Mus musculus: one gene and its partners. The protein of the gene in region 3 interacts with the protein of the main gene of each other region in a biochemical or structural test. Links are inferred from orthologs where the notes say so. Each region holds a gene or a part of one and is shown on either strand. Other genes may lie near its edges. The genes, in order: Cdkn1b, Btrc, Cdc34, Pparg, Fbxw11, Rbx1 and Fbxo7.

Evidence for each region.
Region 1: of the proteins of Cdc34 (region 3) and Cdkn1b, one has a biochemical effect on the other in vitro, tested with the Homo sapiens proteins (3 studies listed by BioGRID, with this or other methods). The link is inferred for Mus musculus from reciprocal best matches to the Homo sapiens genes CDC34 and CDKN1B.
Region 2: the proteins of Cdc34 (region 3) and Btrc form a complex in vitro, tested with the Homo sapiens proteins (4 studies listed by BioGRID and IntAct, with this or other methods). The link is inferred for Mus musculus from reciprocal best matches to the Homo sapiens genes CDC34 and BTRC.
Region 4: the proteins of Cdc34 (region 3) and Pparg form a complex in vitro, tested with the Homo sapiens proteins (2 studies listed by BioGRID). The link is inferred for Mus musculus from reciprocal best matches to the Homo sapiens genes CDC34 and PPARG.
Region 5: the proteins of Cdc34 (region 3) and Fbxw11 form a complex in vitro, tested with the Homo sapiens proteins (2 studies listed by BioGRID). The link is inferred for Mus musculus from reciprocal best matches to the Homo sapiens genes CDC34 and FBXW11.
Region 6: the proteins of Cdc34 (region 3) and Rbx1 form a complex in vitro, tested with the Homo sapiens proteins (84 studies listed by BioGRID and IntAct, with this or other methods). The link is inferred for Mus musculus from reciprocal best matches to the Homo sapiens genes CDC34 and RBX1.
Region 7: the proteins of Cdc34 (region 3) and Fbxo7 form a complex in vitro, tested with the Homo sapiens proteins (2 studies listed by BioGRID, with this or other methods). The link is inferred for Mus musculus from reciprocal best matches to the Homo sapiens genes CDC34 and FBXO7.

What each region holds. Positions count from the first base shown.
Region 1 is NC_000072.6:134,919,168-134,923,200, forward strand, and holds the start of Cdkn1b (cyclin-dependent kinase inhibitor 1B), read left to right. Parts: upstream 1-1,233; 5' UTR 1,234-1,752; coding exon 1,753-2,227; intron 2,228-2,788; coding exon 2,789-2,907; 3' UTR 2,908-2,916; intron 2,917-4,033. UniProt on the Homo sapiens protein: Important regulator of cell cycle progression. Inhibits the kinase activity of CDK2 bound to cyclin A, but has little inhibitory activity on CDK2 bound to SPDYA. Involved in G1 arrest. Potent inhibitor of cyclin E- and cyclin A-CDK2 complexes.
Region 2 is NC_000085.6:45,506,734-45,510,233, forward strand, and holds part of Btrc (F-box/WD repeat-containing protein 1A), read left to right. Parts: intron 1-950; coding exon 951-1,137; intron 1,138-3,500. UniProt on the Homo sapiens protein: Substrate recognition component of a SCF (SKP1-CUL1-F-box protein) E3 ubiquitin-protein ligase complex which mediates the ubiquitination and subsequent proteasomal degradation of target proteins. Recognizes and binds to phosphorylated target proteins.
Region 3 is NC_000076.6:79,680,797-79,684,994, forward strand, and holds the start of Cdc34 (ubiquitin-conjugating enzyme E2 R1), read left to right. Parts: upstream 1-1,398; 5' UTR 1,399-1,617; coding exon 1,618-1,794; intron 1,795-4,021; coding exon 4,022-4,108; intron 4,109-4,198. UniProt on the Homo sapiens protein: E2 ubiquitin-conjugating enzyme that accepts ubiquitin from an E1 ubiquitin-activating protein, and catalyzes its covalent attachment to other proteins by an E3 ubiquitin-protein ligase complex. In vitro catalyzes 'Lys-48'-linked polyubiquitination.
Region 4 is NC_000072.6:115,438,849-115,442,348, reverse strand, and holds part of Pparg (peroxisome proliferator-activated receptor gamma), read right to left. Parts: intron 2,510-3,500; coding exon of another isoform or gene 2,502-2,509; coding exon 2,282-2,501; intron 858-2,281; coding exon 688-857; intron 1-687. UniProt on the Homo sapiens protein: Nuclear receptor that binds peroxisome proliferators such as hypolipidemic drugs and fatty acids.
Region 5 is NC_000077.6:32,729,555-32,733,054, forward strand, and holds part of Fbxw11 (F-box/WD repeat-containing protein 11), read left to right. Parts: intron 1-1,781; coding exon 1,782-1,919; intron 1,920-3,500.
Region 6 is NC_000081.6:81,465,024-81,469,115, forward strand, and holds the start of Rbx1 (E3 ubiquitin-protein ligase RBX1), read left to right. Parts: upstream 1-1,292; 5' UTR 1,293-1,349; coding exon 1,350-1,427; intron 1,428-3,131; coding exon 3,132-3,210; intron 3,211-4,092. UniProt on the Homo sapiens protein: E3 ubiquitin ligase component of multiple cullin-RING-based E3 ubiquitin-protein ligase (CRLs) complexes which mediate the ubiquitination and subsequent proteasomal degradation of target proteins, including proteins involved in cell cycle progression, signal transduction, transcription and transcription-coupled nucleotide excision repair.
Region 7 is NC_000076.6:86,028,429-86,031,928, forward strand, and holds part of Fbxo7 (F-box only protein 7), read left to right. Parts: intron 1-580; coding exon 581-808; intron 809-2,499; coding exon 2,500-2,641; intron 2,642-3,500. UniProt on the Homo sapiens protein: Substrate recognition component of a SCF (SKP1-CUL1-F-box protein) E3 ubiquitin-protein ligase complex which mediates the ubiquitination and subsequent proteasomal degradation of target proteins and plays a role in several biological processes such as cell cycle, cell proliferation, or maintenance of chromosome stability.

The DNA of each region.
Region 1 (4,033 bases), on a different chromosome or scaffold from region 3:
CTTAAAATCTCACTGAACTCTGAGATACGACAGGCCTGGCTATTCTGTTTTAACTTCTGTCACTGTGCTCAGCAGTGATAGAGAAATGTGAAGTTGCCCAAGGAGCTGAAAAAAACCCACCCAACATTACTAGATGTTGGTAATACCGTGGTGGTGGTATTATAAATCACTTGCAAATCTAGTCTTAGATCCTTAGGAAAGTGTTTTCGCCCTTTAACAACCTGCAGCTCTCTAAAAGTATTTGCTTGTATTTGAATATTGTACTGAGTAGGTTGGAAGCAACAGGCTGGTGGGAGAAAAAAGAGAAGGAAGGCACTGTTGTAGTTGGCGTCTGGACTCAGGTGGAGGGAACGGCTTCGCCCGGGAAAGAACATAAGGGTATAAAGGCGAGTTCCCACACGCTATAGCAATGGCTTTCACTGTGCTTAGGAACCAAGAAAATCAGAACTGGCTTTTTCTGATTTCTGTCTGGGACGGCTCTAAAGAGAGGCTTGGGAGAGCACTGGGGGTTTTCAATCTCGAGATCCTACGGTGGAAGCGCTTGGATTCAGAAACACCCTGATAAGAGCGGTCAGTCCTGGCTTCTTTTTGAAACCACCTCCTGGCCTGTCCTACATAGCAGAGACTTCTGGGGTCAGGCTAAGCGGCCGATTCCGCACCCCAGCTAAGGCACCCTGCCGGGTGGGGGTGGGTGGGCTGCCCCAGGCCCTGAGCCAAGGTTTCCTGAATCTCTCGCATACCCTCCTCCATTCCCACCTCGGCGAATGCAGGTGGGCTGAACTAGCCACCGAAGCTCCTAATAAGCCGCCAGCGACCTAGGAGCCCACTGGTCCAGGCCCTAGGTTTCGCGGGCAAAGACCTGGAGGTCGCAGTCGGGAGCGGTGACGCGCCTGCCAGCGCAGCTCTGCAGCGCCGGGACCTAGATCCCCGGGTCCCTGCCTGGCCGCCGCGCTGGCCCCTCCCCAGCTCTCCGGCCGTTTGGCTAGTTTGTTTGTCTTATTTTTAATTTCTCCGGGGCCAGCCAGAGCAGGTTTGTTGGCAGTCGTACACCTCCGAGTAGTCACGCGACCAGCCAATGTCCTGGCGGCGCTACGGGGAGGCGGCGCGCTCGGGAGCGCGGAGAGGCGGCGGCGCCGCGCCCGGGGCCACCTTAAGAGCGCGCTCGCCAGCCTGGGCGGAGCGGCTCCCGGCGCCGAGACCAATGGAGCTCCTCCTCTGTTTAAATAGACTTGCAGTGTCAATCATCTTCTTCTTCGTCAGCCTCCCTTCCACCGCCATATTGGGCAACTAAAAAAGGAGGGGGGCTCGTGCTTTTGGGGTGTTTTCCCCCCTCATCCCTTGTCCCGACTCACTCGCGGCTCCGAGACTCGCGCGGCGGCAAGGTTTGGAGAGGGGCTGCGTTCGCGGGACACACGGGCTCGCCCCAGCCTACGCTCCGACTGTTTGCCACCTCCTCCTGCCTCCTCCCCTCCCTTCCCCGCCCTCCAGTACACTTGATCACTGAAGCCTCGAGCTGCGCGGCGGCTGGGGTGTCCCTGCGCCTCTCTTCCCCAGACCTGCGCGCTACTGCGGCTCGGGCGGTCGCTCGCCTGGCTCTGCTCCATTTGACTGTCTGTGTGCAGTCGCAGAACTTCGAAGAGGGTTTTGCGCTCCATCCGTGGCGTTTCGCTTTTGTTCGGTTTTGTTGTTTATTTCATTTTTTTTTTTCCGGAGAGAGGCGAGGCGGTGGTCCACACCCGCCCGAGGAGGAAGATGTCAAACGTGAGAGTGTCTAACGGGAGCCCGAGCCTGGAGCGGATGGACGCCAGACAAGCGGAGCACCCCAAGCCTTCCGCCTGCAGAAATCTCTTCGGCCCGGTCAATCATGAAGAACTAACCCGGGACTTGGAGAAGCACTGCCGGGATATGGAAGAAGCGAGTCAGCGCAAGTGGAATTTCGACTTTCAGAATCATAAGCCCCTGGAGGGCAGATACGAGTGGCAGGAGGTGGAGAGGGGCAGCTTGCCCGAGTTCTACTACAGGCCCCCGCGCCCCCCCAAGAGCGCCTGCAAGGTGCTGGCGCAGGAGAGCCAGGATGTCAGCGGGAGCCGCCAGGCGGTGCCTTTAATTGGGTCTCAGGCAAACTCTGAGGACCGGCATTTGGTGGACCAAATGCCTGACTCGTCAGACAATCCGGCTGGGTTAGCGGAGCAGTGTCCAGGGATGAGGAAGCGACCTGCTGCAGAAGGTAGTGACTCTTTGGAAAACTTAAAATGTCTGTCTGTCTGTCTGTCTCCGTAAGCGCCCCTTTACTAGACCCTGTTCACTTGCTTTCTCCAGCGTGTTCTGCTTTAGCTCTGGGAAATCGAACTTGTTTGAAGCTTAGGTTTGACATACCCCCTATCCGACTGCTTGCCCTGTTTATGATTTTGAAGTCAGAAGCCGGAGATAGTAAGATGTGATAACTTCCGTAGCCGAACGCATCACAGTTCCTCCCCTCTAGCCAGCTGTAGATACGTGACAAAAGTTCGGATGTTTACCAACTGCCTCCTCCTTGGCTGGGGTGGGGGGGTGGGGGTGGGGATGGGGGTGGGGAAGAGACGTGGGGTGTAGAATACTCCTTGTGTTAGTGGGAACAACCTTATTTTGTGTCCTTAGATGCTACCGGGGATGACGGGTCCAGGGGTCGTGGGTGGAGGTAGTGAGTGGGTTGTTCATCCCTTGGGCCTACTTCTGTCAGCCATTGTTGTCGATAATAAAGATGGTTTGTGTGTGTTCTCTTAAAAATTTCCCCTTGCCCCCCTCTTAGATTCTTCTTCGCAAAACAAAAGGGCCAACAGAACAGAAGAAAATGTTTCAGACGGTTCCCCGAACGCTGGCACTGTGGAGCAGACGCCCAAGAAGCCCGGCCTTCGACGCCAGACGTAAACAGCTCCGGTGGGTTAATGAGGAAGAACACAAAACTGACACCCCATCTGGGCTGCGCTCCCCGGGGGGCCTGCAGACCCCAGGACTGCTGGCAGATTAGTTGCCTGCCAGGAGGAATTACTTTCCTTGATCAAAAAAATTAACACTGGGGAAGGCTGGAATCACTTGAGGGGACTATAATGCAGTATTTGCACCCCAAGATATTTACCTTAAAGTGGAATCAGAATGAGGTTCCCAAGCAAGAACTTGCCACCAAGGCCCCAAAGGATAGGGACGGTCGTATCCTTATGAATCCCACTAAAACTTAGGCTGGGAATGACAGTTTTCCTTTCCAGTCTCAGTTCATGAGAACCCATTTCCCAGAGGTTCGTTTTGAGCCAATAGCCTATTTTGAACCATTTGAACTGTAGAAAAATGGCAAATATATACTTACATGTATGTTCTTAAGAGAAAAACTAGGTACCCATAGTGCACGTTTGATTAGGAGTGTGAATAGAGCTGCCGTGGCTCGAGTTCTTTTTATCTTTTGCTTTTGTTTTGGTTTTTGGTTTTTTGAGATAGGGTTTCTCTGTGTAACAAACAGCTCGGGCTATTCTGGGAATTGCTCTGTAGACCACGCTGGCTTCGAACTCACAGAGATCTGTATTGTCTCTGCCTCCTGAGTGCTGAGATTAGAGGTTGTGTGCCATCACCTCTGGGTACTTTTTTATTTTTTTTTAAAGTTGTGCCTTGTATGCTGGTAAATTTTGGAGAGAAAGGAACTTCATACTTAAAAAAAAAATTAGACTGGAAAGTTCAGAAGTACTAATGCTCCCACAGAATTGATTTTAACCCTGAGGTTACAAAGCAGAAGTTAAATGAACAGCTAGAGGAAGCAGCCTTCCCACACGTCAGCACCGTATGCTAATTTGCTGGAACAGGACGGTTTGGATGTTTATAGGGGAAATGGATAGTAGATGTTAGGACCAACTGAGAAGGTCCAACACAAGTGTGGATTTTTCCATGTGTCAAAAATCTCATCACCCCACTTGCCTAATTAGAGTAACCCAGCCCCTAAATTTACATAGATTGACTATTCATATGCTCTAACTACTTATAATAGTTTATAAGCTCCTTATGAAGAAAA
Region 2 (3,500 bases), on a different chromosome or scaffold from region 3:
TCGGTCCTTTCCGTTCATGCCTGCAGACAGCAGACTGGAGGAATCCTTCCCCTTGTGAGCCTTGAGAAAGCCTCGGGGATGACTAGTTGTGACTGGCTGACCTGAGAACTTAGGACAGCAATGCCAGAAGTGTTATTAGAGTGGCCATCCTGTTTGACAGGCTCTTCTCCACCGAGGCTTTGGGGCCTATTGGGTGCTAAAGAGCTTTAATTGGGAAGTACGGTATCAGCCTGCCATATTTTTCCTTTGAAACGCTACCCTCATTTACTGGTAAGATTTTTTTATTCCATTTTAGGTCAGTTGTCACTTAGGTTTTATAGCAGTAAAATTTGTTTTGTTTTGTTTTTAGCACATGCAATCAGACTCCTTTGAACCCTAGTATCCCCATGTGTCTCTCCTCTCAGGGTGCTCCTGGGCCCTGTGCTCATCCCTCTCCTGAATGCCCACACGCCACGTCCCAGATCAGTCTGACTTGCTGCCTCTCTCTCCCTAGTACATTTAAAGGATATTTCTTTCGTTGAATAGCTTTGGAACAGCAGCAGTAATAGAACAGAATGAGAAATGGACCTAATATCAGGATTTCGGGGGGTCTGAATCACTGAGTTTGAGATGCCGTCTGTAGAACATCCCCTAGTGTTGAAATCCATATAGATAGATGTGAACTGTTTTCTGGACTCCTTTTTATTTTTAATGTCTTGGGGGGTTTGCTGGTTGTTAGCTTTAACTTCCTTATCTAACAGAAGATGGAAAATACTGTTCATTTCTGTAACCTTATGGAAAAATTATTGACACTCATTTTCCCCAAGTCTCTGTTTGAGCAAAGCTGGACCACGCTGGGGAGAGCGGTGTGCCTTTATCTCAGGCATGTGCTGCTCTTTTAAAGGGCTTTCTGTGAAGAATCGCTCAGCACCCGCTCTGTTCTTTTTCTGTGCTCCCTCCCCTCACTGAAGCACGGGGTCTGGACCACATCGCTGAGAACATTCTGTCATACTTGGACGCCAAGTCACTGTGTGCTGCTGAGCTCGTGTGCAAGGAATGGTACCGCGTGACGTCGGACGGCATGCTGTGGAAAAAGCTCATCGAGAGGATGGTCAGGACGGACTCTCTGTGGCGAGGCCTGGCAGAGCGCAGAGGCTGGTGAGCCTCCCTTTCTCTCCCTGTGGCAGCCCCGGGCCTGGCTCCTGGGCACGGCCAAGTGTCAGGAGCCAGCGAGGTCACTGCGCATCGTCTGTAGTCCTTGTGAAGTTTATAGCTAAAAATATAAGCAAATGTTGTCTGTGTACTCCGTAGCTTTTCTTCTGACCAGTCAATCATAAGATGACATGTTTTACAAAAGAAAAAAGAAAAGTGACCACCCTCCTAATTAAAGAATTCTGCTCTCTGGGCAGAAGTTAGAATTTTGCAGAAAGCCTGAGAGACAATTTTTAAGGAAGAAAAGATAGCTTCCAATCAGGTAGAAAGAACCCACTCCTGCTTCCTCCTCTTCTTCTGGGGAAGATGGAGTCACTATTCTTCACCAGAGTTCCTCTATGTAGTCCCCACCTCCAGTGTCTCATCATCATTGTAATCAAAATTTAATTTTTATGCCCAAGTAGAATTAAGCTATAGCTACCAGAAAGAATGAAAAATGAAATTTAGGATAAACCATTTGTTTCTTCTTAAAACTTGTGTCTTTAGATTTGCTTGTTTAATTATGAATTCCCTAAGGCCTGTGTAGTCAGTGGCCTGAAAGACTTCCCCAGTAGTGTTCCCTGGGCATAATGGCACTATTTCATTAAAACTTCTTGAAGATATTTTTCTTTTTAGAATTTTGCCTCAGAGTGTGTCTCTAGAATGTCACTATAAGAAAGTCAGGTATGAATAATTCATTAAATAAGTTATTAAGTATATTTGATAAAAAATGATAATAGACATGTCTATGCCCAGTGATTGCCTTCAAAATTAACCTTTTTTTTTTCTGTTCTTTTCTGGTCTGGTGTCATATGCAACCTCAAATAGTTAAGATTACTAAAGGGAAGCTAGGTATGGTAGTACATGGCCTGCTTTTCCAAGAAGTAGAAAGGAGGCTAGTACATATGTGACCCACTCTCCCTCTGCAGCATGACCCTGTCTCAAAACAAGTGTAAAAATAGCTAAGGGCTGCAGGTGCCCTCATTGTGTGTGTGTGTGTGTGTGTGTGTGTGTGTGTGTGTGTATGTATGTATACACAAACACACCACACACACACCACACACACACACATATGGCTGGCTTTGGGTCCAGTCCTCAGCACTATAAGCAAAAAACCAAACTTTGACTTAGTTGGGTGACGTGGTAATCCACACCTGTGATCCCAGCAGGTAGGGAAATTGAGGCAGGAAAGAAAGACAGATGCATATGAATCAACTTTCCTTCACATTTTTATAAAATTACACTTGGCTCTCTCACTTTGATGTCGTTGAAATTCGTGGGTTCATTAAAGTGTTGGCCTGAGTGTCCTGGTAAGCACTTGAGAGATGTCTCAAGCTCTTAAAACCTTTACTCTGCAGCCCAGCTTCAGGATTCACACACTAGCCACGTCCTTGCTATGACTGCAAACCGGGGCTGACTGTCATTTCTTTCTCTTTTTTTCCCTTTCAGATTTTTTTTTAACTTCTTTCTATGTGGGAAAATAGAAACTGCCTTTGCTTACTGACTTCATACTCTGATAGTTATCATGTGTGGCATTCAGAGACCATTATTTGCTGAATCCAAGACCAGCTTTCAAAGTGGAGCACACAGTTGTTTACTTGGGGAAATTTCAGGGTGTCTGGGAAGATTCTCTAACTCTTAGGAAAGCAAAGAAATTCTCCTCCAGATAATTCAGGCTTTAAGTCTCAATTTGAAAAACTCAATTCTTGGCTACAAAGATTTCATGCCCTGTTAAGAAACTTTGTTTCCGTTCGTCCTGTGAATGATAATAAGTTTCAGCATAAGCATTAACCTGCCAGGAAGGCAGGAGACAGAAGTGCCCTGCTGATGTGTGCAGGGCCCCTGTAAGTGCAGTGAAAAGGCAGACTCTTGTTTAGGGTTGGTCCTAAACAGCGGGCTCTTTTAGGTTGGATATTAAGACAGTAACAAAGAACTATCATTGAAAAGATAGTTTTTTGGACTCTTTTTAAAAAAATAATTTTTGTGGTGCCTGGAATAAAGCTGAGGGCTTTGTACATTACATGTTAGGCAATTTTTCTGTTCCTAAGTTACCTCCTAGTGCACTTTTTAGCCTTTTGAAAGAGCTGAGGTGTATCCTTGCCTCTCCACAGCCTCTGAACTTCCTCCCACCCTTTGCAAGCCATCCAGCTTTTTACCCAAGTTCCCTTGTCTTTGATCAAATTGATACACTTTGATATGACTTGTTATAGTTCCATGAAGTGGTAAATACAGATGCTGTGTGCTCTGTGAATGTGCTTAGTGTCTCCAGGTAATACCAGGTGTACCTCCCTCCCATTTCTTTTATTGTCTTTCTGTTCAGGGTGATAGTG
Region 3 (4,198 bases):
CCCAGGTGCAGGCTCGCCTGGGAGTAGGGAGAAGTATGTTCCACCTGAAGGGAGGGGCACCCTGTCCGTTTATACATCAAGGGCTTCCTAAGTGCAGGCTGTGGGAGTGGTCATCTCAGACACACAGGAAAACCTGAGCTACTTGCTATGTGCTGACAACTAGGTGACAGTGTAAGATGGGCAGTGTGACATGCACAACAGGGGCAGATACTTCTGGAAGTCCTTGGAAAAGAGCGTGACCAGAAAGACTTCTAGCCCAAGAGTCTAGGGCTCCCAGGGGGAGGACAGCCAAGGTAGTGCCACACATGAAGTGGCATTGGACCCTGGGCTCTTCCCTGGTCATATCAACCAGCCCCACCTTTGACACCGTTTCCCTGTCCCCAAACAGGTCTACCTGCTATCCCCGACATGACAGGATGTCGGAGCACCTGTGGTGGGAGCTGCCCTTTCCCAGCCCCAAGTGTTGATGCAGCTGTAGTCCTCCAGAACGCCCACAGTCAGGGTGAGTGGCCAGTACAGCCTAGGGACAGAACCACCCACCCCTAAAGGTCACGGGTACACCACACACACACCCTGCTGCAAAGCTTAAATATGCTGCCACCACCAATACTAATGACCAAATGTCCAAGAAAGGAGTTATGGGTGTCTGTGCTGAACAACCTCAAGGTCTTTGCGTGTCTGTTCCGGATCCTGTAAACTTTTGGGTTATGCCTCACCACTGCTTTCTGGTCGATTTAAGCAAGACTAGGGTGTGGTCAAAGGTCAGTCTGAAGGGGTTCAGACTCCACCTCCTGGAAGCCACGTCTGCAAACCCCAAGTCGTTGATTCCCTGCGCTTCTACCTGAGCCCATAGAGACCAAATGGGGCCATCTAACGCTTCATGCTGGGAAACAGGGGCGGATCCTGCTCCGCTCCCGCACAAGCCACGCCCAATTCCCCACCCACAACCACGCCCCCTGAACGTCACAAAAAAAGGCCCCCAAAGCCGCAGCTGCCACTCCGCAGCGCGCAGCCCGGCCCTGCCGGCCACCCCGCACACAGGCATCCGCGGAGCTCTTCCGGCCGGAGGCGACGGCGGCCTCCGGAGCTTCGGAAACGCAAGGCGCCTGCGCGGCAGGGCGGGGGACGACGACTACACTTCCCGGTGTGCCCCGCGGGCGGGCGCGCAGACACATTCCGGACCCGGTGGAGGCGTCGCACAGGCGCATTCTAGACCCGGCAGTGGCGCGCAGGTGCATTTCCGGCCCGGCAGCAGCGGCGCGCAGCCGCACTCTAGGCCCGGGTGTGGCACGCAAGCGCTTTCGGGGCCCGAAGGAGGCACGCAGGCGCATTCGGGGTCGGGAGCCGGTGCGCAGGCGCATTCGAGGCCCGGCGGCTGCGGCGCGCAGGCGCGTTAGGCGCGGGCCGGGCCGGGCCGAAGCGAGCGCCGGGCGGGCAGCGGCGCCAGAGCGAGTGGAGCCTTCGGGGTCCCCGGGTGGCGGCGGCGGCGGCGGTGCAGAGGAGGAAGGCGGCGGCTCTCCCCCTGCCGGCGCGCGACCCGGTCCGTCTCGCGAGCTCGCGCCGGTCCCGCGGCCCGGCCCGGCCCCGGGCCCCTCCGTCGCCGCCGCCGCCACCGCCATGGCCCGGCCGCTGGTGCCAAGCTCGCAGAAGGCGCTGCTGCTGGAACTGAAGGGGCTGCAGGAGGAGCCGGTGGAGGGCTTCCGGGTGACGCTGGTGGACGAGGGTGACCTGTACAACTGGGAGGTGGCCATCTTCGGGCCCCCCAACACCTACTATGAGGGCGGCTACTTCAAGGTGAGCAGAGCCTCAGTTTCCTCTTTGTGCCTGCCTCTCTCCCAGGCTCCTCGTGCAAAGCGGCTCCTCCCTTTTTTGTTGGGCACGTGCTGACCTTACCCCGGGGACTGGTCTCCCTAAGCTGTCCTCCAACAGGCTACAGGATCAGGGACTGCTAATGTATGCCGCATGCCCAGGCAACTCCCCACCACGAGACGCAGGGGCCTCTAGAGCCTGCTGCTGGTCAGCGTGTTCCCAGGTTGTCCTACACTGGACTAAACTTGTACCTGGGAAAGGATCTTTCCCTGTTGTCCCCACCCTTCCATAATGCTTCTGGTAAAGGGTCTCTCCGGGGACAGTTGTTTTCCTTCTTGTCCCGTCCCCCTCTCAACCCCCCCCCTCCGGTTAGTTCCCCCTACCCCAAGACACAGAAGCCTCTGGAGCCCCCTGCTGGCAAGCATTTTCCCAGGTTGTTCCTCACCCTACCAGCATGTGGTAAAACCTGGAAAGGTTCTTAGGTTGTCCCAAGACATAAAGGACCACGGGCAGCTGCTAGCTGGTATCCCAAGGCCCTGCCCCCTACGCTGGAACACAGAACCAGGGCAGCCGCTGGCCGATGTGTCCCCAGAGAAGGGACGTGTAGCCTGGACAGCCACCTGCTCCAGTTCCAGTAGAGGCCCTGATAGGGCCTTGGCAGCCTTGCCTGCTTGGACAACAGCCACCTTTAGCCCTAGCCAGGCTTTATGTAATGCATTCCAAGGGGGCAGTGGGGGGTCCACCCTGAATCTTGGAGCCACACCCTGGGTTCCTTCTTTGGGCCCTGGACCCTAGAGCTCTGTGTTTGCCCCACCCTGACAGCCTTTCTCAGGTTCCACTGAACAGGTGGCTTCTTAGGGGCCTGATTTTTCCTTCTAGATAGTGTCGTCTGCCCTCTGGTGGCTTCACGCTCAATGCACCAGATGTTCTTGTGGTTGGGAGCAGGGAACACTGGGAAGCCTCCAACACTGGAAATGTGTGGCCAGCTATAGGTACCCCCATCAGCACAGTTAGATCATCCTGCTTACTGGGGGCTAGAATAACTAGCAGAATCACAGAATCTCATGCTAGGGCCAAAAGGGACAAGATGAGGACCGGGTGGATGCACAAATCCCAGCCAATCTAGGGTCCCTAGTGTAGGGCCATGGTAGATATTTGTTTGTGTGTCTTCTTCCTTGCCTCCCACCTGGATGTGGTCTGAATTAAGAAATATCTGGATGCTCTTAGCACCTTGTCTCCTGTATTTGCTGGGAGGGGCAGTGGGAACTGCCAGGAGGACAAGTTCTGTTCAGAGCAGGGTCACCTGACCTGTTCCTCATCTGTAAAGGGATTGTGGGTAGAGTCTCCTAGACTCACATAATTCTTGAGATAGCTTAGGATGCTCGGCAAGATGTCAATCAAGTCTGTCAGCGTGGGAGCCTCCTGTATGGTGTGGGTGGCTGAGACATGGGGAGACTCTGTAAGGGGGCAACTGTGAGGAGCTTCGTCTGGACAGCCCAGCCTGTTTCACTTTGGGGCTGTCCAGGAAGAGGTTGGGAGCACCCTTCCTGTTCCTGAGCCTCAGTTTGCTCATCCGTATAAAGCATCCGGAGCCACAGACGTGAGGGGTGTTGCAGCAATCCCACTTTCCCCTGCTCTCCTGAGACATCAGGGCTGACAGGCCACACTGGATGTGTGTGTCAGCAGATCCTCTAGCTTGAATTCCTGGCCAGCTCTGAGGTCACAGGCCAGTCTCCCTAAGGGCTCTACTTGTCCAGGGAACACTAGAAGCTGCCTTTGGGGAGCCCCAAGACTAGGGTAAACCTCAGGCCTTCTCTACCTGTCCAGAGTCTGGGGGGCAGTTGGCAGGGTGAACTTTTAGCCACAAGCAACTGCTGTGGCCAGGCAGATGGTTCCAGCTTGTCTGGTGACTATTCTTGGCCTGGGCCCCTGAGCTTGGATAGTGTTAGTTTTAGGCCTGAGGCTGTCCAGGAGATCTGCTGACTCATTCCTCTAGCTAGCCCACACCAAGTGATACTTACTGCCTGGCCTTTCCTAACCTGCATGTCAGGTCACAGAGGTGCTTTGTGTGTCCCAGTGTACAGAGACTGGGGTTGGCTTCAGGACCTGAACACCAGGGGCAGCCACTGCTTTTTGTCCCCGTTGGGCATAACCCCTAATTCCAGTGCTCAAGGGGCTGCCATTGAGCCACCCCATTTTCTACCATCTGTAGGCTCGCCTCAAGTTCCCCATCGACTACCCGTATTCCCCACCAGCCTTCCGGTTCCTCACCAAGATGTGGCACCCAAACATCTATGAGGTAAGACACTAAATACCTGCCTCAGGCACACTCCACCACACACACCTCCTGCCTCCCTTGCACGTGCCCGCCCCTCGTCTAACCCTCGTC
Region 4 (3,500 bases), on a different chromosome or scaffold from region 3:
CAGGGAAGAGCTCAGTTGTTGCCTTTTGCCCTTCCATTACACAAGGCTTGATCTGTGGCTGGACTACAGGAACAGCACTAGATTAGGGCTTGGTAGGGACAGACCTCACTAACCCGTAACTTTGCTTTTCCTTTTGTAGTCCTGGGAATAAAGAGCCTATTCAAGTGACCCCATGCCTTTGATGCACAATTTCTACAGTGCTAATATATTAATATGCTTAATATTACAGCATTAGTCCATGGGTCAAGTGATATACATATATAGTCTATCAAGCCTTTCTTGTTTAAGAGATTGTATAGCACGATGAAAAACACACTAGAGAAATCAGAAGATGTAGGTCCTAGTACTGGCTCATCATTCACTGTCTTGCTGCGATACCTTGGATAAGTCCTTTCAAAAACAAAACAAAACAAAACAAAACAAACAAAAAAACCCCCAAAAAACCTCTGCAAGATCCACTGAGATGCCTCAAAGACTCATTTTGGGGAAGGGGAAGTGGGATAGAGTAATGCTGCTTTTATTAGCTTTTCTCAGATTTTCAAATGTTATATTACTTGAAGAATGAGTTCTGCCAAAACAACTCCCCACAACTTTATCTTTAAATTCTTAGAGTGAGTTTGTAACAGGAAATAGAATAGGCAAAATTGCAGAAAACTCTAGGATGGTTTTTTTAAATTTAATTTTTACCTTGCATCCTTCACAAGCATGAACTCCATAGTGGAAGCCTGATGCTTTATCCCCACAGACTCGGCACTCAATGGCCATGAGGGAGTTAGAAGGTTCTTCATGAGGCCTGTTGTAGAGCTGGGTCTTTTCAGAATAATAAGGTGGAGATGCAGGTTCTACTTTGATCGCACCTGTGCATGGGAAAATTTGAGAAGATGGTTATCTCATGACAAACAATCTTAAAGAGGAACTGTGGCTTTCCATGGTGGCCTTCATATTTTCATGCCATAACTTTACTGTCTCAGAAGAGGCGCTGGGGAACATGAAGAAACGTTGGTGCTCAGATAGGAAAAGTAAGACTTTGTCATCTCAGGCAAGTCACAACACCCCAGAACCTCACCTGCACAAATAAAGCGGGAAGGGAATTAAAAGCCAGAGAATTAAGTGTGCTTCCCCCCCCCCCCCCCAAACTTCCCGCTGCTTTCCACAGACATTGCACAGGGTTTGGATAAGTGACGCTTACTTGGCTAGGCAATGGGCTGCATCTGGCATCCATTCTGCTATTATGGGTTTTATTGAAAAGGTGAATTTTAGAAATAGTTTTAAACTTTTCTTGCAAAAGAAATACAGAAGGAACATGGGCAAGAAAATGCCATGGTGAGCCTAGCCCGAGGTGCCAGGTTATCAACAGGGTTGAGTCTGAGGTGGTTTGTAAAGTGATCTTTGATAGAGAGTGGGAGCAACCTGTGTGAGGCAAGTACTGCGTTTGCCCGTGGCTCAGACCTATTGAATTTCCGTATTAGGCTCTAACCCTGAGCCACACAGATAAATACCCACGTATACTTTCTATCTAAAGAAAACAACTAGAAATTACAGGAAGTTCTTACTTATTATCAAGTAATGCTTGCCAGTGACACAGGGGTGACTCTGGAAAACCAGCACATCAGCCCACAAGATAAAAATCAAGGAAACAGCACCACAGAAATGATACTTTATCTCAAAAAGTTTGGTTCTGGTTTTCTTGAGGCTGATGTTTTATGTTAATTTACTTAATGTCATGATGATCTGTCAGTCAGCCACAATGTTCAAATGTAAGTTTATGCCCCAAACTAGGGTTTGAGGTAAATTTTACAAATTACAGCTTAGAAAGAAAGCCTAACTGTAATAGTAACTTAGCTATGATGAGTCATGTAAGTTGACCTACAGCTATGACTTACTGAAAAGAAGCTGGGAGAATTCAAAGTTTACATGATGGACTGTCAGCCTAAGACAAAACTGGCAATGTAGTCATCCTAGAAAATGTTCCAAAGATGGAAACAAGAAAGGAAAGAAAGGAGAAGATAGACGTGTGTGTGTGTGTGTGTGTGTGTGTGTGTGTGTGTGTGTGTGTGTGTAAGTTTGGGAACATTGGAGGGAGAAGAAGAAAGGGGGTTAGGTTGGGAACATTGTTGTGCTGTCTTATCTTGGCCTCCCACAGACATCTAGAACTTCAAGCGTAGTGGATAAACTGAGTAAAGATGCCTTCTTGTCAGAGTGCTAATCTCAGGAGCATTTATTCAATGGTTATTAAAAAACTGTCTAACTCCAATCCTAGTAGTTTGAAAAGTAAACATACTTTGGTATTCTTGGAGCTTCAGGTCATATTTGTAATCAGCAACCATTGGGTCAGCTCTTGTGAATGGAATGTCTTCATAGTGTGGAGCAGAAATGCTGGAGAAATCAACTGTGGTAAAGGGCTTGATGTCAAAGGAATGCGAGTGGTCTTCCATCACGGAGAGGTCCACAGAGCTGATTCCGAAGTTGGTGGGCCAGAATGGCATCTCTGTGTCAACCATGGTAATTTCTGAAGTGGAAAAAAAAGAACAGGATATGAGTCAAGTTCTGGAGGGCAGAGCAGTCCTCATAGACATAGAGAGGAGCTGAATGAGTTTAATAAAGCATTTCACTCAGACTTCCCTATGGGGGTGAGTGCACTACTGCCTTTCTAGTACCACCCAGGTAAGAAGGAAGTCAGCCTTTACCTGAGTTTCTGTATTGAGAGAACTTAAGATCTGCTTCATTAGCAAATTTCAACTATATGATACAGTATTTCTAACTATAATCATCTTGCTGTCTATCAGGACTCCAAAGTGTTATGGAAACCCTGGCCAGTCTTCCCTACGCCTAGGCCTTGGCAACTAGCAAGAGTATGTGGCATCTGGTTTCCTGAGTCTAGTTTGTTTTCCTTAGTACAATGTTCCTTTGGGTCATCTATATTGCTACAAGAAACAGAAGTTTTTCCTTTTTAAAGGCCATAGAGTATTTCACTGTATGTATGTGTGTGTGTGTGCATACATGTTCATGTGTGTGCATTCTGCATATGTGTGTATATATACTATGGGTTTTTTTTTTTACTTGTTTGAGTATGCATGCCTGTGTATACATGTGCATTCTGCATGTGTGTGTCTGTTCATACCACAGAGCTTTTTGTTTACTTTTACTTGTTTATATGTCTTAGATTCTCATGTTGATTTCATATCTTGGCTATAGTGAATAGTGTCATAATAAACATGGGAGCATAGAAGCTTTGACATAGTAATTTTTAGTTCCCTGGCCATATTTCTAGTGGTAGGGCTGCTAATCACATGGAAATTCCACTTTTGATTTTTTGAGAATCTCCACTTGCTTTCTATAATGGCTGCACAGTGTATAGTATACTTCACTAGAGATGTTTCTGTTGCTCCATATCCTCTCTTCTCTTCATGGACTAGCTATTCTAACAGACGTGGAATAGTATATTTTTGCTGTAGTTTTGATTTGCTTTTCTCTGGGGATTAGTGATATTGAACATTTTT
Region 5 (3,500 bases), on a different chromosome or scaffold from region 3:
CTGGACTCAAAAGTTGAGTGTGGACAGCTGTACCTGCTGTCTACTGGTTTCAAAGTCTAAGAATCCAGATCAGCTAGTCTTAGAGGCTGATGGCTTTTAATCTTGGATAGTCCCTGAGGCTGGGTCTTCTGGTGGGCACACCCTACTTCCTCATTGAACCGGGCCATGGTCTCAGGCCAGGGTGCCCTTGCTGCCTTTCAGATCCTGTAGCCAGAGTTTGTTTATTTTGACACAGAGAGTGCCCTGGATTGTTACTGTATGTTTGTGTTCTGTGTTCTCTACCTAAGAGCTAAGACTATCCTTTGTACTGATGAATATATTCGTAGCTGATCAGAACTGGGTGTAACTTCTAGCTAATCCAGTTTGCAGCAGGTTAAATTCTTTCTTTGCTTATTTATAAAGGAAAACAATGAGAAACACTACCAAGATTATTGGCTTAATCTTTAACCAAGCAGATTTAGTTCAGAGTCTAGATGTTCCTCAGTGTACTGTGGGATTACATCCGATAAATTCATGTTAAGTTGTAGGTTGAAATGTGTATAAATGTCCTTAACCTGCTGAGCGACCTACTTGAGAAACACATTGTAGATTCCAGGTGTGTTCCTCTTGTGCTGTAGTGGCTGGTCACGGCTTGCTACTGTCATACAGCATCCAATTGGCTAGCCAGGGAAAGGATCAAAATTCAAAATACAGTTCCTCTTGAATCTATATTATTGTTTTTGCATTTTAAGTCCAAAATTGAAAAAGTTAAGCTTAACCATTAAAAGTGAGGAAAGGGGGGTGGTGGTGGTGGGGGGAATGTGTGCTCATGCAGCTGTGTAGGAAGAATCTTGATATGCATCTTAGGCAGGCTTTGAACTTGACATCTTGTGTCTCAGTTTCTAGATTCCAAGTATTTGCCCTCATAATTGGCTTTATGCCTCCTTGGAATGCAGTATGCTTCTCGTTGATCTTTCTCATACTTCCTGATACTGGGAATATGCTAACAGCCCATTAAACAACACATGATGTTAGAGAAGTGGACACCCCCCAACACACACACACACACACACAAACACACACACACATAGGGGGTGGGAGATGCGGGGGTGGGGTGGGGAGGAGGTGTTTTCTCTATTGTTCTGGCTGTCCTGGAACTCCCTCAGTAGATCAGCCTGAACTCCAACTCAGATCCTCCTGCCTCTGCTGCGAGTAAAGACATGCACCACCACCAGTCTGTCTGCCTGCCTGCCTTCTTGCCTTCTTTCCTTCTTTCCTTCTTTCCTTCTTTCCTTCTTTCCTTCTTTCCTTCTTTCCTTCCTTCCTTCCTTCCTTCCTTCCTTCCTTCCTTCCTTCCTTCCCCTTTTTATTTTTTTAATTCTTATTTACAGTGATTTCAGTCTGGCAGGAGCTTAGAACTGATGCACTAGCACAATGTCCTGTCTTTTCAGTGATCAGGCAACGCTTCAGTTAGTGCTTAGTAATATGGCAGTCTTTTGCCAGGTGTTTTAATTGGCATTAGGAAGTGACTCAGTGAGTTACTGTTTGTATTTTGGGGGCAAGGGATGTTCTTTAAACGTACTGAATTCTGTCTAGGCTGTTTCAAATCTAACCCAGAGCTCACTGGAAATCCCATAATGCCTGCCAGGTAGGCAGGGAGGGTTTAAGAAGAAACATTGTTGTCTAGTGTTTTATTGGGAAAAGAGAAAAGTTGGGGGTCTCTGGTGGGAAGCAATACCAGATTGTTAAACCTTACAGAACATTTGGCTCACAAAACCCCACCTCTTGCCTCCTTTCTCCAGACCATAGAATCCAACTGGCGGTGTGGACGACACAACTTGCAGAGGATCCAGTGCCGCTCTGAAAATAGTAAGGGTGTCTACTGTTTGCAATATGATGATGACAAAATTATCAGTGGCCTCCGGGACAACTCTATCAAGGCAAGTTACTGATCTGTGTTATTGTAGTATAATACATACACGTGGTGCTTAGGGGTAAGGTGCTGTTGTGTGGCAGTCTCTACTACTGCTGATAGGTTTTTATCTGTTCTCAGCATCAGCAGTTCTCATAGTTCAGAAGAAACCAGAACCAGCACTGTCGCCCTTGTCTGATCTCACGTGTCTCTGAGCACATTCATACTCATCCTCTCTGTTTATGATCTCTTCCCCCCCCCCCCCCCCATTCACTTGTCTTGTTCCTTCAGGCTCTCCTCATACCCAGGAACCCAGTGGCCTTCCCACCACTGTATTTAGAGAGGGAGAGAGAGAGAGTGTGTGTGTGTGTGTGTGTGTGTGTATAAAATCTAGCCCTTCCTATCAGTGTATAACATGTAACAGATTTTTGAACTGACTTGTTATACTCAGTTCAGATGCATTTAGCCTCACTCTCCTGCTTTGTTTAGCAGTAGTTCATTACTTCTTGTTGTGAAGTAGCATTCCATATTATTGGGTACATCATAGTGTGGTAATCTATTTAGTTCTCAAGGATGTGCATGCTGCTTGGGACTTCCTCAGAATTGTAAATGAAACCTCTAGCAATACACGTGTGCAAGGTTTTGCTGGAATGTTAAGTTCAGATCAGTTGAGTGAGTGAAAACCTGGAAGCTGGATTGCCGCCTCGTATGGTAAAATGACCTTGGGTTTAGGGATGACATTGCAGATGTAATACCAGACTATGGTCTGTGAAGAAAGAATTGATGGGGTAGTCTTCATTAGTGTGTCAGTTTTCTGCTCTGAGAGAAAATCCAGGCTTCAGATTGACAGGATATACATGTAAAAGACATCTGATGAGGGAGTCCTAGTTAAAGTGTGTAGAAACTATAAAAACCCAACAATAAGGAAATAAAACACATTTTAAAAACAGGCAGAGACCTTAGTAGATAGAGCTCTAAAGAGCGTGTCTAACCAGCAAAGCAGCATTTACAAAGATGGCCATGTTGTCAGCCTTCAAAGAAAGGGAAGCATCTGGGAGAAGCATCGAATTCCATTAGTGTGGTGACTACTAGGGCCCGGGAAGAAGGGGAGGAGTCCAGCAGAGCCTGCATCCCATGCTTGTGGAAATGGAAAGTGGGCCAGCTGCTTTGGAAGGCAGTTTGGCGCTTTCTTAGTAAACACTCTTATCATATGATCCAGTGCTTATATTACTTAGTATTTGCTCAGAGGAGTCGAAAACTTAGTCCACCCCAAACCTGCACACATTTGCAGCAGCTTAATTCCTAGGCAGGCCTTGGGAATGAGCAGGTGTTCTGCAGTGGGCGTGGGTAAGCTGCAGGGTGCCCAGGTAGTGTGCTAACTTTAAAGCATTGAAAAGAATTTGCTTAACAAGCCATGACAGAGTGAAAAAGGCTGCCCGATGGAGGAGGATTGGTTCAGTGTGTGCTGTTCTGAAAGAGCAGCTCTGAAGAAGAGGAAGGAAGGGAAGGAAGAGCTCAGGCCTGAGAGGAGCCGTTTGTTCTTAAGGCCCTGCTTCCCTTCCCTTCCAGAAGCTGCCCGCTCTGTCATCTCATGACCTGTTTCAATTCT
Region 6 (4,092 bases), on a different chromosome or scaffold from region 3:
GTAGACACATAGACCAATGACAGATTTAGTGTGGGAGGTAGAACTTGGGCAGACACACACACACCTTGCAGGGCTCTCACAAGTCTCTGTGCAAGTTAAAACTGTGGTGGTATTCAGGATGTATTGCCCTGCTTAGCAAGTGCATCAATGACACACCGCATTACACACCAGCAAGTATTTCTTTTAACAGAACATTTCAGGACAGGCAGTGGTGGCGCATGCCTTTAATCCCAGCACTTGGGAAGCAGAAGCAGGCAGATTTCTGAGTTCGAAGCCGGCCTAGGTCCAGTCCTGAGTTCCAGGACAGCCAGGGCTACACAGAGAAAAACCCTTTCTGGGGGGGGGGAGGGGCACATTTCCGGTAAAACCCTTTTTGTTGTACTGTTGAGGGAACTAGAACACACAGGAAATTCAAGGGTGATGTATTCTAGTCATAACTCCGCAAATTTAGGAGACAAAACAGCGGAGGGCTGGACTAATCATGGAAGCTTACAAAACGTATGTGTTCTGTAGCTCGATGGTAATGACCGGTAAGAAAATCAGAATGCCTCACCAGAACTCAAGTTCAGCCACTACAAATGTACTAATTTAATCGTAGCACAGTAGCAAAACTCGATAGGAAATGAGGAGAAAGGAGGACCATTTAGAACTGGCTGGTTATGGGATTTACTATGGCATCCCCATCACCTTTCCTGTGAGAAGATAAAGGCAAAGTTGCAGAATGCCTGCTCTGTTTGCTCCTGGGCCTCTTCTCTCCCTATCAAATAATTTCCCAATCTGAAATTGATAACGCAGACGGTGACCAGGCCTTGGTAAGCCGGGCCACAGGCCTCCAGAGAGACACCGCCTGGCTCCGAAGCCGACCACGGTCAGCAGAAGGCCGGTTTGGAGTTTCGGGTTTCCAAAGACCAGCCCATGCCCTTTGCAACCACGGACTCGGGGGCAGCTCTGTGGATCTGGACCAGGGCTTAAGTCCTGGGGCAGAAGAAGGAAGCAGCCGCCGCCCCAAATGAAGGAGTCAGACCACAGGGCTTCCCAGAATGCGAGAAGCATCGAGACCTCACGGACGTTCCCACCGGTTGGCTCCCTTCTCTCGGCCCCGCCCGGCCCCGCCCGGCCCCGCCTCAATCACTCCAGCCTCCTCCCCAGCTGAGAGAGATGGGGAGGAGGGGGGCGGGAAACCTCCGCCTGCGCCTTTAAGGGGCGTGACCGCAGGCTCCGCCCCTTCTCCACGCTCGCGCCAATGAGGGGAGGGGTGCGGGAGGAGGCGCCTGGTGTGCGGGGCAGGCGGCGGAAAGTGAGCCGGTGCGCAGGCGCAGTGGTCACACGACAGACTGTGTGTTTCCAAAATGGCGGCGGCGATGGATGTGGATACCCCCAGCGGCACCAACAGCGGCGCGGGCAAGAAGCGCTTTGAAGTTAAAAAGGTTGGGCTCGCCAGCGCCTTCCTCAAGGAAGCTAGGGAGGCGCGGATATGGCTGGCAGGCCCGAGGAAGAGCTAGGCGCGGGGGAAAGGGCTTCATTTCAGGGCGTTCCTGGGACCGGGCACCAAGAACGGAAGCCGGGGGGCGGGCCTAGGGTTGATCGGCATGCTGGTGGCCCAGTGTCTGGGGCCCTATTAGTCTTGCTGGGGAAGCTGTGGGGCCAATCGCAGAGCTGCTTACTGAAATACGCGAGGTTGACTTCGATGCGGGAGCCAAGCGCTTGAGCTGTCACTGAAGTGACTGAGAGGTGGGGGAAGGACAGGGTGGGGTGGGTGGGATGCAGACTCGTGAAGAGACTGCGGCGGGTGGAGGATGGGGCCGTGCGGAGAACCCCGGGAACGTGAGATGACAGCGCAGAGGGGCTCTGCCGGTGTTCTTGCTCCGCCCCTTCCTGGATCCTAGAATCTATTGACTCCGAGGGACCTGGCGTGGGCCCTCGATTGTATGGCGGCCTCCATTGGCCTCTAAACCCACAGTCAAGTGTAAAGCTTGGTTCTAACGAGATGGCTACTAGTTGTCACATAGCATCTGCCACTCCAGTGGTTCTCTGATGTCCCTGTACACTTCTAACACAAAATGATAATTTAAAAGCCTGGTGGGCTTTGTTTTAAAAGCAAGCCCAGAACTTGTGCCATTTAAGAAGGTGGAGTACTAATTGCTAATGACCTGAGAACAGAAAAACAAAAATATGAAACGTCCTTTTGTATGCCGTTCCCCTTCATAGTTTGCTAGTCCTTTAAAAGTGTTGATTCCTACCTAAGATTACACAGATCTGTTAAAAATGAAGATCTTGAAGAGGGCAAGGTGTTTTCTTTTTATGGATTATTTTTGGAACGTGTCGCTGAGAATATCCCTCACCCCACCCCCTTTTTGTGTCATCTCATTGTGGCCACTGCTGCTCAGTTACAGCCTGCAGCCATTATGAAAAATAAAAATGTAATGTAGAATTTACTAAACTCTTATGCTTGAATTTGGAAAGTCAAACCAAAGTAGTCCTTGAAAAGGGTGCCTTGTCTAACATAAGAAGTCTTAGGTCGACTTACTGGAGCTAACAAAGTAATTGTTTGGATATATGAACGTTGAGAACATCAGTTTACTTGGTAAGAGGAAAAGAAAATCGCAGTGGATTCTACTTTGCTTGCAGTGCTCTTTTAAGGTTTAAGTGATGACCTCGTTCTGTGTACTGAAACTGGGTAGGTAACTTGCTATCCAGCTTATCCTGTGATTATCCACTTAGTGGTCCATTTATTATCTTAGTTCAGTCTGTTCACTTCCTTGCCTCTGAGTCCAAAACTTTGTGGAGAGCCCGTGCTTATGCAGATTTTGAGTTCTTCCACAGCTGTCAGGGAAAGCTGTACAGAAAATAGTACTAATATTCTCACGTTGGTTTGGCTAGCTAAATTATTTTACATTATATATAAAAAATTGAAGATACCCATGTTCATATACTTCATCTTTCAAGGAATGGGGAAGTGTACAGGTGGTCTGCTGTTGTCCTCTGATATAGTCCAAATAGTATAATCCAAAAACATCCTTTCTTTGGTAGGCCCTGTGGCTGGGGCGTTGGTAACTGAAGCTGCAAGCTGAAGTCCTAATGAGCTGTTAGATTACAAGGAAAATGCATTGTTTCCCCTCTTCTCCTTGCAGTGGAATGCAGTGGCCCTCTGGGCCTGGGACATTGTGGTTGATAACTGTGCCATCTGCAGGAACCACATTATGGATCTTTGTAAGTAACTCGGGGCAGATGGGAAGAAGTTGAGAAGGTTACAGAAATGGTGGTCATCCTGGTGTGCCCAATTGTCTTCTTTACCAGTGAATACAAAGCAGGCTCAGAACCCTTAGGCACTTGTGTATCTCATCCATTGGTGTGTTTGAAGTAGATTGTTTTGTGGTTGTTTGTGGAGACAGAGTTTTTTGTGTAGCCCTAGCTCTACTAGAACTCACTTTGTAGTAGACCAGGCTGGCCTTGAACTAGAGATCCACCTGCCTCTGCCTCCTGAATTAAATTGTTTCTTTTCTTTTCTTTTTTTTTTTTTTTTTTTTTTTTTTTGTGGGGTTTTTTTTTTTTTTTTGTGGGTTTTTTTTTTTTCTTTCTTTCTTTTTTTTCCCCCCAGACAGGGTTTCTCTGTGTAGCCCTGGCTGTCCTGGAACTCACTTTGTAGACCAGGCTGGCCTTGGACTCAGAAATCCACCTGCCTCTGCTTCCCAAGCGCTGGGATTAGAGGCGTGCACCACCACCGGTTAAGTTGTTTCTTAAAACAATGTCTTGGAGGCGTACCTTGCTCTCAGAATGAATTATTCATTGTAAATCAGGCAAGATCCCATTTAAAATGGGGTGTAGATAGAGTTGCCTTTTATTTCCTTCTTAGACAGCCATAAAGGCAAAAATAGTGGAAGAAAATGACCTTTGAAGGTAGATATAGTGGTATATGCCTGGAATCCCAGCATTTGAAAGGCAGTGGCAGGAGTATTGTTACAAATTACAGGCCCATCAGGGCTAAGATTTGAACTACAGTACTCTTACCTAAGCTAGTTTTTGTTGAACAAGATTACAATCACAGATTGGAGAGATGGTTCAGGAGTTAAGAACATTGGCTGCCCTTCCAGA
Region 7 (3,500 bases), about 6.3 Mb from region 3:
GGGTTAGATTAGGCAGACGTAGCATGCATGTAGTGTTTTTCTGCTTGACTCTGTACCAATTTTTCTCTAAGAACATTCAGGGACACAGTCTTAAAGTACAATTGTGGGAAACAGTACTGCCTGTCTTGAGGAAATCCTGAGTTTTCAACTGGGACATAAGATGTGATTGGCTCCTTAACTTTGGGTAACTGGCAGGAGTACATGGTGTATATGAGACAAGAAGGGGAGGCAGGCACTCTGAGGAGGTGCTGTTCCTGGAACTCAGGAGACACATAATGGGGGTATGAGGTACAGTGGCACAGGAAGTACAGCTTTAGAGAGATCTGGGCATGGTAGTGGTTGGAGCTATGAGCACAATTAGGTACTGTTTAGTAAGTGTATGGAGACTTACCGATGAGCTCCATGTTTTTAGCCTGGAGTTATGGGACTCAGGACAGAGGTGTAGGTTGCAGTGTCATTTATTTATAAGAGCTTCCTATATCTGAACCTCATGCTGGCTTTTGTTTTGAGCACTAATCTCTGCTCAGTTTAGGTTATAAAATGTCCTATGTAAAATTAATGAATCTATTATCCTTTTTAGGAAGGGCCTAGTCAAAATGTTGAAGCTGAGTCAATTCAGGATGCCATGAGTATGGAAGAGGTTTCTGGTTTCCATCCATTGGAACCAATGCTCTGTAATGAAACAGAGGATGGGCAGGTACCACATTCTCTAGAGACCCTGTACCAGTCAGCTGGCTGCTCCAACATCAGTGATGCCTTGATAGTGCTGGTGCATCTCCTGATGCTCGAGTCAGGCTACATTCCTCAGGTGAGTGCAACCCAAATACCTTAGGAGGTGTGGTGATTTGAATATGCTTGGCCCAAGGAGTGGCACTATCAGGAGGTGTGACCTTGTTGGAGGAAGTGTGTCACTGTTGGGATGGGCAATGAGACCTTCCTCCTAACCACATGGGAGCCAGTCTTCTCTTAGTGGCCTTCAGATGAAGATGTAGAACTCTCAGCTCCTCCTGCACCATGCCTGCCTGGTAGCTGCCATGTTCCTGTCTTGATGATGATAATGGACTGAATCTCTGAACCTCTGAGCCAGCCCCAAGTAAATGGCTGTCCTTATAAGAGTTGCCTTGGTCATGGTGTCTGTTCATAGCAGTAAAGCCCTAACTAAGTCATGATGTCTCCCTGGGTACTTCACAAGGGCATCGTGATAGTCTATCTTCCTTTACTAAATGTGATTGGTTCTTGAATATAAAATGTCAGACACAGTGAGGAGTTGTCACAGGTACTCAGTAAATGTGCCCTTTCCAGCATTCCTTCTTTTTCCATCATTTCCCTTGTTAGCATTTAGTATTGCCCAGAGATAATGGCAACTGGTCCAAAAGGGGGGAAAAAAAGACACAAGGTTTTATATACTATAATATCAAGATAAAGTGTGGCAGTGTGGACTGAGTATGAATGATGCTGACTAATTAATGTGTCGTGTTCATAGGCTTGTGCTGTGGTTGCTTATCGTCATTCAGCATGGGTTTGTTAAGCATCTACTAATTCAGTGACTTGTTTCTGTTCCTGGTCTTAGGTCTTTGTTTAAGTTACTGTTAGTCTGAGAGTAGAGAAGAATTTAGACCATTATAGTATAATGTGTAAGTTCTAGGAGAGACACTTACACATCCAGAGTGCCAGGGACTCTGGATGAAGAGTTAGAGTGGAGCTGGGAATCCATGGGACCGTATTAGAGCCGAGATTCTGACTTGTAAGCTGAGGATAGAGCTGGGCTTCTTGCATACTCTGGCCTGACCCCTGCGCTGCTGGCCTGTACATGTTCCCTGTGGCCATGGATAGAGCACAAAGATGGAGAGTAACCCAGGATCAGGGAACGCCTGTGCACACATTTCTCAGAGTTCACAAAGGAGCACAAAAGACCAGACAAATATGGCATATTACAAATAACAGTGTAAATTGACAAAGAATAATAAATATGCAGTGATAGAAATGTGAGTAAATGTTAGAAAATAACTTTTCTAAAAAGGGCTGTATGAAGGAAGTGCTATTCACCCTGCAGTCTTGAGTAATGGTATGTCTTTACTAGGTAGAAAATGTGAGCCTTAGAAGAGAAAAATTAAGCCTTATTTCTATGATGTCATCTTATCTATTAAAATGAATATTTTGATAGAAAAATATTATCCTCCTTTAGTGTTAATGATGTGCATATTATGTTGAGGCTATGCGTCTTTATAAAAATGTGTGAGGTGTGTGTCTGTGGGGCGTGTGCATACCATGTAGCATGTGTGGCAGTCAGCAGAGATCTGTGGAGTTGGTTGTCTGCCTTCACCTTTCTGTGGCTCACCTTGAGTATCAGGCTTCTGTGACAAAGCACTTTATCTGCTGAGCCTCGTCGGTAGCTTAAGGGGGGCTGTGTTGCACAGTAAGTTAGGGGTGTTAACTGACTTTCAGGTTTTTCAACACAACGCCTTTCTTCATTATTTTTCCTTTCCTTTCATTCTTCAGGGAACTGAAACCAAAGCAGTGACAATGCCTGAGAAGTGGAAGTCAAGTGGTGTATACAAACTGCAGTACACACATCCTCTCTGCGAGGGCGGCTTTGCCGTGCTTACCTGTGTGCCTTTGGGAAACTTAATCATTATAAATGGTAATGGGACGGAGCAGTCATGGTTGCTGCCTTATGAATTAAGTAGTTTCTTTATAAACATTCTGTAGCCACTTGAGTGTCTGTCCGAGTCGTTCACAACTTAATTCCTATACCACTGATGACATATGCCTGAAAGATTTCAAATGCGAGGATGTTGGTTTAGAACAGCACCCTTCACTCTCAGGGTAGCCCCCTTGTTTTCTTTTTGACCGTTTGTTTTTATTTTACGTTTTGAGTGTTTTCCCTATCTGTCTGTGCATCATCACATGCATGTGGTGCCTGTGGAAGCCAGAAGAGGTGTCAGATCCCCTGCGATTGGTGTTACAGATGCTGCGAACTGCCATGTGGGTGCTCGGAATTGAACTAGGCTCCTCTGTAAGAACAGCCAGTGCCTATAACTAACCGTTGAGCCACCTCTCCAGCCTCAGCTCTTTCTTGCGATGTCTCATTTTTTGAACACTTGGTTCTGTGAGAGCTGTGGTAATAGAAATAAAATGAGTTTTACTGTGTAGAAACTTAGAAGAGTGTTCTTTTGTGCATGTCTGTGAATGTCTCTTTTTATTTACTTCTTTAAGTCTTAACCTGTGGTTGCATTTCATGTTAGTCATGATGTCACACAGGTCTTTCCCAACCACCACTGGTTTCTGGAATGTTCTCATGATCTCACAGTAGGAGATCCATTTGGGTGACCAGGATTTTACATCTCATTCTGATCTTTTGTTTTATTTTTATACTTTTGAAATTGGGTCTGTATAGCCCAAACTGAACTCAAATTCTTTATGTAGCTGAAGCTGGCCTTGTACTTGTGGTTCTTCTGTCTCTGTCTCTCAAGTTCTGGGGTTGTGGGTGTGTACCACCT